2 linked regions of the Arabidopsis thaliana genome follow. The protein of the gene in region 1 interacts with the protein of each later gene in a pairwise test. Each region holds a gene or a part of one and is shown in the gene's direction. Other genes may lie near its edges.

Region 1 (4,894 bases):
TTAATTTCACATCAGAAGCAGCTGCAGATGGAGGCCAAGATCAAATATTGAGCAGGGTTATTGAACTGGTGAAGAAATACGACAAAACCAACACCTCTGAGGTTAGGGATTACAAAACTGCTGCTTTTTCTTTGTGTATAACCTTTTATTTTGGTGAATGGTTGTTTTGTAACACGGGGCTTGTTTACTTGCAGGTTACTGAAAGGGCTGATTTTCAGAAAGATTTGTCGTTGGACAGCTTGGACAAGACGGAGCTAGTTATGGCTATTGAAGAAGAGTTCTCGATTGAGATCCCTGATGAGAAAGCTGATAAGCTTACTTGTTGTGGTGATGTTGCAACATACATACTCTCTGAAACTCCTACCAAAGCGTCTGAGTCCTGAGTTGTATCTCTGCCTTTCTGTCTCTCTTGTTTTCAATGTTTAGTTAATGCAAGTTTAGAGACATGCTCTGTGTCAGTGTGTCTTTGCTTCAGCCAATATGATCATTTGGGTTTTTGCTGCTAAACATTTTATATGATATATATTCTAATGTGATCACACTACTTTTGTACCAAAAACATGGGAGCCTTTATATACATGATGCTTACAGTTGTTTGTTCTTACACTTTGGGAACATGAAACACAATGTAGAGAGACTCTAACTCGGTTCTGTGACTGGAGCGCCAGCTAAGCAAACGAGGACCATAACAAAAAAAATGCTTTTCACATGAAGGAACTTGAAGAATCAGCTGTTTGTGTTCAAATCTTTTGGTTGAAATGTTGTCTCAACGAGCTTGCTATGATCTCGAACTGTGGCCCTGTAACCTGATTTTCCCTGAGGTGTAGACACGGAAACCATTGGTAGAGGAAACAAGTTTGATAGGTTTGTGTATATTGGTAGAGGTGTTATAGCATCTATAGGGCCTAGGCACATATACTGGCTTGATGAAACAAGTGTTTTCAAGGTGTGGAATCGCATGGAGTTGGGAGGGAAGATCGATTTCAAACTCTCCCAATTCATCAGTAACAGCCTTAATCCATTTGGACCTCCTTTTGGATCCAGTGTGGCACTTGATGGCAACGGTGGCACCTGCGAGGATCATGTTAGTATATATTCGGACGGAAGACAAGAAACATGAAGAAAAAAGGTAGAGAAACAAATACCTGGGATAGGGATGGAGTGAAGGTGAGGACGTGAAGTGTCGCAGAGAAGAGATCCGGTGATCACGACAGAGGAGAGTTTCTGTTCACCGTAGCCAGCCATCTCCACCATTTCCGTTCTGGTCCATAAATTATTCCCAAATGCTCCGGTGAACAAGAAGAAAGAGAGTAACAAGAAGCAACGGATGATGAAGAAGCTTCCCATCGTTAAAAACAAAGAAAAGAGGTTTGTTTGTTTTTCTTTGTATTTTGTTAAAGAAATGAAAATAGCATGAATATATAGAGAAGAAGAAGGAAGCTAAAGAAGAGGAAGAGACCCTTTGCGTGGTGGCTTCAGGTCACACAGCTCTGTACGGCAGTGTCTCTCTTTATACCTTGTAGTAGCCTTTTTCTTTTCAGTTGTATCTTTTCTAAATATATTAAAAATCGTGGCTGACTTGTTAGGGTCAAATTTAGAGCTGAATCTTCCAAATGAAACAATGAACCGAGAGCGAAAGAGAAAGAGAGATACGGCACTTGGAAGCAATTACTGAGTGGTTCGCCTACTCTTTCACTCCTTGTATAAGTATTATTTTAATAATAATATTTGGTGCAACGTTTTTGTATCTAGTGTGACGTTTCTCCTTTTCTTTATTTAATTAAGCCAATTCAGTTAGAGTAGTCATGCAGTAACCAAAAGATTCAAGCCTACCCTCAACTATACTCGCACACATTCAGCTTTGAACACAACGGCTTCAACATCGTGGGTTTGGTCGTGTCTACGTGCTCAGAATATCTAGTTGATGGTGGGAGTCAGCAGGGTTTTGACCAAACCACAGTTTCTCAAGTCCTCATTACATTGAAAAAAGTATGGGCTTAAAAGAAGCCTAGATATTGATAATAGGTCCATCACCTTTAATGGGCCATTCAGTTTGATTATCTTAACGGCCCATTAGGATTCTCCAGGTGGGACAAGTATTAGCTATGTCATTAAGAGCTTAATACAGCTGGAAGCTGGTGATTATTGTTAATGTTAACTAATCACACGCTTAGAAAAGCGACAATGGTTGGACCCACAGGAGAAGATCGAGACCGTCAAAAGTGGACAAAACTGGGACGCTTTTTGTTTCCAAACAGCTGTCTGATCTGATTGGTCGATGCAGTTTTGATGGCAATGAACCCCACCACAGACCACACCCTCATGATCCAACCCAATTCGCTCGTAACACAAAAAAAAAAAGAAGTGAAAAATTGACCGAAGGGTCGTTGAGTGGCAGTTACCCTCTGTCTCCCTAACGCCCACCTATCTTCTCCGTGTTTTCCACGCGCTATCTTTCTCTCTTCTGTGTGTTTACCACGCTCCTCTTATGCGCGTCGGCTCGTGACAAAAGTGTGCCGGGTCCACTAACTGTCCACAACACGTGGCAAAGCCTTAAAGGGCTGTCTATCTCTCAAACAAGATCAATTCCAATCCGACGGTCGAGCACGTATCCAGTTGTCAGAATCTTATCAGTAAACGGACGGTTCATATAAGATCACGTGTCAAGTGAGCAGAAGTCGTGCGTCCTCTCTTTATATAAGCTCCGGCGACTCCTTCACCACTGTGTACAATACCAGCCGACACTTAACAATTCACACCTGCTCTTTTTACTCTTTCTAAAACCCTAAATTTTCTCGCTTCAGTCTTCCCACTCAAGTCAACCACCAATTGAATTCGATTTCGAATCATTGATGGAAATGATTTGAAAAAAGAGTAAAGTTTATTTTTTTATTCCTTGTAATTTTCAGAAATGGGGGATTCCGACAGGGATTCCGGTGGAGGGCAAAACGGGAACAACCAGAACGGACAGTCCTCCTTGTCTCCAAGAGAGCAAGACAGGTTCTTGCCGATCGCTAACGTCAGCCGGATCATGAAGAAGGCCTTGCCCGCCAACGCCAAGATCTCTAAAGATGCCAAAGAGACGATGCAGGAGTGTGTCTCCGAGTTCATCAGCTTCGTCACCGGAGAAGCATCTGATAAGTGTCAGAAGGAGAAGAGGAAGACGATCAACGGAGACGATTTGCTCTGGGCTATGACTACTCTAGGTTTTGAGGATTATGTTGAGCCATTGAAAGTTTACTTGCAGAGGTTTAGGGAGATCGAAGGGGAGAGGACTGGACTAGGGAGGCCACAGACTGGTGGTGAGGTCGGAGAGCATCAGAGAGATGCTGTCGGAGATGGCGGTGGGTTCTACGGTGGTGGTGGTGGGATGCAGTATCACCAACATCATCAGTTTCTTCACCAGCAGAACCATATGTATGGAGCCACAGGTGGCGGTAGCGACAGTGGAGGTGGAGCTGCCTCCGGTAGGACAAGGACTTAACAAAGATTGGTGAAGTGGATCTCTCTCTGTATATAGATACATAAATACATGTATACACATGCCTATTTTTACGACCCATATAAGGTATCTATCATGTGATAGAACGAACATTGGTGTTGGTGATGTAAAATCAGATGTGCATTAAGGGTTTAGATTTTGAGGCTGTGTAAAGAAGATCAAGTGTGCTTGTTGAACAATAGGATTCACTAACGAATCTGCTTCATTGAATCTTGTATGTAACTAAAGCCATTGTATTGAATGCAAATGTTTTCATTTGGGATGCTTTTATGTTTTGGTGAGAGTTATGTAGTGATTCAAGTGTCAAAATGCTTACATAGAGAGGCAGCAAAGAAACCAGCTTCGTTAGAATCTGTGAGGAAAGCTCTGTTTGTTGAGAAAGAAGGTCAATTGCGCGAATGTAAGTCGCGGGTGTTGTAGTACAAGTTGCCTTGTTGATCAGGTGCAGAGACGCGGAGAGGAGTGAAGCCTTCGTAGTCTCCGTTGGTTTTAGCAGAGCAAATGTCTGTCATATACCTCAATAGCTCATAATTTTGTACAAATGGTTGATTTATGTATTCCTCCCAAGGCATCCACTGCACCAAATTCCCATTTTCAGAAAGAGAAGAGGTTTATGAGTGTTTTAGTGGATGAGACTGGAGAGTCGTTGAAGTGAGGAGCAAAAACTGTTACCTGAGCTGCCTCAATCTCTGACTCCTGTGCGTTGATCTCCAAAGAAAGGGGCTTTAACATGCACACGAAGAACAAATCTGACTTTCCAAAGAACGCTTTGTGTGTTTGTCTGCCAGAATTTTAAAACAGACGAGAATCAGTTATGTTGCAATATAGAAGATTATGCAGTTGGAGTTGCTACCTGAAGGCCAATATTTGGTCGAATTCTGTATCCACCTGAAAACATACGATGCAGAAGAGTGGGATTAGCTCTTGGTCTCATGTAAACTGTAAAGAGGACAGTGAAAAGTTGAGGCATGAAGAAGCCTTACTCCGGTCTCTTCTTTCACCTCTCTGACTGAGCCATCATGAATGTCTTCACCCTGACTCAACACAAACACAAAAAGGCGAATCAGAGAGCTGAACCTAACCATGTAATGAGCTTTAATAAGAACCAGCACCTCATTCACAACTCCGGTGGGGAACTTCCAGATACCTTGACCTTGAAATCTCCCTGTCTTCTCTTGAACCACCAGCACCTTTGGATTCAAATACAGAAAAGAAAAGAGATGTGATCCATTCTTGGAGATGTTCCAAAAAGACACACTAAAAATCTCATCTCATCAGTAATCAAACCTCTTTGTTGTGGTTAATGACAAAGGCACCTATGCCAACACGGTGAGATGCATTGGCAGGAAGCGTATCGTCTTCTTTGGGAATCCAATAGACAAGCATCAAGTA
Region 2 (3,778 bases), 1.2 Mb from region 1:
TTTAATCGCTAAGTCCATCATATCCGGTTACTCTCCGCTTAATCGTTAAGTCCATTCTATCCATGATTAATGACTAATCCCTTAAAAAATCACTCATTCGATTACTCTCCTTCTAATCCGATTACAAATTAATTATTTTTTTAAAGTAATATTAAGGGCCCCATTTCATGTAAAAGTTTTTTTCTCCAAATATATTGGGCCATTTATTAGATATTTTCAGTCAAATTAATTTTTTTATAAAATATGGCCTTTTTAAAAAATAATTCAGAAAAAATCATGGAATCATGGGCTACTGCCCTTTTGCCCATCCTATTTGGGCCGAGCTTGTTATCATCAACCTCGACCCAATGGGTGAGTCGTAAGGTGTGAGGGTCAAGACTTTTTTTATTTTTGAAGTAAAATTGATATATAAAAAACCCATATTTTATAAAACAACTTATAATTAGCCCAAAATTATAGTTCAAAACCCCATTTTTTGTTTTAAAAATAATAAGCCTGATTTTGTTTTTTAAATAAAGCTTTTTATAGCAAAAACAAATTGGGTAACCTTACATCTCTAATTTTATTTGGGATGGGGCTGATTATCATCACAAGGACTATGCATAAATGTTTTCAATAACTCCATATCAATAAAAAATAATCTGGTTTGATTGCTTTTATCCAGCTAACTAAATTTCACACCAAATGTTGAACTCATCATTGTTTTTTCTAGATTTTGCATGATTCGTTTGTTCAAGTAATCAGGTTCGACTTTCGATTAAAGCCTAAAAATCTCATGAAACAAAGGTTTTAGGCAAAGAACTCTCTATATAAATATATAGGCGCATCATTTCATAAAAAGTTTATTTCCGAAAAGTTGATGGATATCCGCTTTAGGTGACCAGTTCGATCCTAATTTCCTAACTTTTGTAATTTCTTTTTAACAGGTGACGGCAAATTATGTTTGGACCGGCCCTAAAAGTAGTAATTATTTCCTTTAAAAATAATATCTAAGGTTAAGAGAAACATATTCTTTACATAAACAATATCTTTGGATGTTTAAATTTTAAGCTTGATATTTTAACGAACTTTGGCGCGAAAACCATCTATTCAAATATCTCTTTCCACCACTTGTGTTTTCATTGATTTGGAATTGTTATCTGCATTGAGATATCTTTGAATGATGAAACATGTTCCTTTGCTACCTTTAAATTAATGCTTCAGATTAGATCGGTCTCATGCACAAGACAAATTGACATACATATTTGCATCTTTGAAATGCTGACAATATTTGCAATCTCCTAAGAATGATAACACAAAGAAGCAGGCCAAGCATTGGATTTTAAGTACACAACTATAGCTTTTTCACTCGAAGCCAAAGTCACCTTATCTATGCGGAAACTCCACATACTTTCCATTGCGCATTAGAAAATTCTCAGTTTGGTATCTTCCCACTAATTACCACTCCAAGGCACCACTTATAGTTTTCTTCTTTGACTAATCAGATCTTGGGCACAAAACCATTGACGACATTCCTCATATGCTAGCTTTCACATACTTCCCTAAATTGGTTAGTATAAAATCCACCTTATCTAAAGCTATAGTTGACTAATAGCTTTCACCTTATCTAAATTTTATAAGTTTTAAAATTTATAAAATCCAAAAAGTATTGGTTAACAAAAATTTATAATGAATAGAAAGTGAGGTTTTGTATTTTGGGATTTCACATATATTAGTAAATATTGTATAACACAAAACAAAATATTAATAAAAAATAAATTTTATTTTTGAGAAAATAGTTGGGCTGATTTCGTAGCCCACTTAATCAGCCTTTAAATATGGAAACCCTAGCCTAGAAAGTGAACAAGAAAAACGTAAAGATCAAAATGGAAGAGAACAACGGCAACAACAACCACTACCTGCCGCAACCATCGTCTTCCCAACTGCCGCCGCCACCATTGTATTATCAATCAATGCCGTTGCCGTCATATTCACTGCCGCTGCCGTACTCACCGCAGATGCGGAATTATTGGATTGCGCAGATGGGAAACGCAACTGATGTTAAGCATCATGCGTTTCCACTAACCAGGATAAAGAAAATCATGAAGTCCAACCCGGAAGTGAACATGGTCACTGCAGAGGCTCCGGTCCTTATATCGAAGGCCTGTGAGATGCTCATTCTTGATCTCACAATGCGATCGTGGCTTCATACCGTGGAGGGCGGTCGCCAAACTCTCAAGAGATCCGATACGCTCACGAGATCCGATATCTCCGCCGCAACGACTCGTAGTTTCAAATTTACCTTCCTTGGCGACGTTGTCCCAAGAGACCCTTCCGTCGTTACCGATGATCCCGTGCTACATCCGGACGGTGAAGTACTTCCTCCGGGAACGGTGATAGGATATCCGGTGTTTGATTGTAATGGTGTGTACGCGTCACCGCCACAGATGCAGGAGTGGCCGGCGGTGCCTGGTGACGGAGAGGAGGCAGCTGGGGAAATTGGAGGAAGCAGCGGCGGTAATTGAAAAGTGTTGATTGGGTTTTAGGGTTGTAATGCTTTTGTGAGAATTTGTATCTCTATCGAGTCATGTTTGTTGTTGTTGTTGTTATTATGTTTTGCTTTCGTTAATGTCATGTGTTCTGTTGTTGTTGGTGTTATGTGTAGTCTTCCATGTGAAATATCACATAGAAGACTAAACATAACATCAACAACACCAAAACACATGGCATTAACGAAAGCAAATGGAAGACAATGGAATTTTAGTTAACTCTTATTTTCTTCTTTGCTTTAGATTAGTTTATGCCAAAGAATCACCAAAATATTCGCAGTTCATTACGAAAAAACACAATGAACTAGGCATAAATGTCAATTACCATAAAAAACATATACTACTAGCTCCATCTTCTAGTTATCCTTTATGAAAGTAGAAAATCCCCATGGCTCATGGTATTAATTTTGTATACGTTGTGAATATGTAGGCATCATGATCTTAGGATCTAGTAAGAGATCTTTTTGAATCCCGAATCTATGTTCGTAAATTTTCCAGCATTTTGATTTTAAAATGGATTTTCGCGTGAAAGTTATACTCCGGTTTTATTATGCAACGAAATTTTACTTGCAAACCGCTGATATATTATTCCAGTTTTCTCAATTTGGCATGAGTTGTTTCTCACATAGTATATTTCGTTTTCAAGATATGAACATCTAATGTGTAAAAGATCTATTGAAAATATAGTTGTGGAACACCTTGAAAATTGTTGTGGATAACAAGTGTTCGTAAAACAAACATTGTTCGTAACGACCAATTAGGAGCCACATAATAAAACCAAATATTTTCACTTCGTAATCATTAGATAAAAAAAAATCTTTGAATATTTACTTTTTTTTTAAGCAATAAATCTTTCTTCTTATGAAAAGATAGAAAACAATCTAGACAATTTAATTTTTAGAAGCAATAAATCCTTCTGTTTATGAAAAGGGTCCTCACTCTTATATATATACTTGGTTTCATTTTCTTTTTACTTTAAATGGCTACATTAAAGAGTAGCCAGAAAACATAAATAAAAACTCCAAAACACTACTTTCTCGGTTTTATATTATAAGTTGTTTTAGCCAAATTATTTTGATTCTTAACATAAGATGTTTTAGACAAATAATTCAAATTTCTATGCAAGCGTAGAATTTATATACTTTTATGACTATATATATATTATGCAGTAACGAATTTCATTGGCCAAACTCACTTTAATTAACTAAATATTAAATTATGTTTTTAATTTAGAAAAAATATATAAAAAG

Evidence for each region.
Region 2: the proteins of NF-YB2 (region 1) and NF-YC7 interact in binary tests that used the Arabidopsis thaliana proteins (3 or more experiments, as listed by UniProt).

What each region holds. Positions count from the first base shown.
Region 1 is NC_003076.8:19,306,503-19,311,396, forward strand, and holds NF-YB2 (nuclear factor Y, subunit B2), read left to right. Parts: upstream 1-2,724; 5' UTR 2,725-2,911; coding exon 2,912-3,484; 3' UTR 3,485-3,770; downstream 3,771-4,894. Other genes in the region: mtACP3 (mitochondrial acyl carrier protein 3), read left to right, coding at 1-101, 195-383; AT5G47635 (Pollen Ole e 1 allergen and extensin family protein), read right to left, coding at 779-1,071, 1,146-1,347; NUDT2 (nudix hydrolase homolog 2), read right to left, coding at 3,889-4,077, 4,175-4,283, 4,356-4,390, 4,486-4,536, 4,615-4,692, 4,790-4,894. UniProt on the Arabidopsis thaliana protein: Component of the NF-Y/HAP transcription factor complex. The NF-Y complex stimulates the transcription of various genes by recognizing and binding to a CCAAT motif in promoters.
Region 2 is NC_003076.8:20,553,846-20,557,623, reverse strand, and holds NF-YC7 (nuclear factor Y, subunit C7), read left to right. Parts: upstream 1-1,865; coding exon 1,866-2,504; downstream 2,505-3,778. UniProt on the Arabidopsis thaliana protein: Stimulates the transcription of various genes by recognizing and binding to a CCAAT motif in promoters.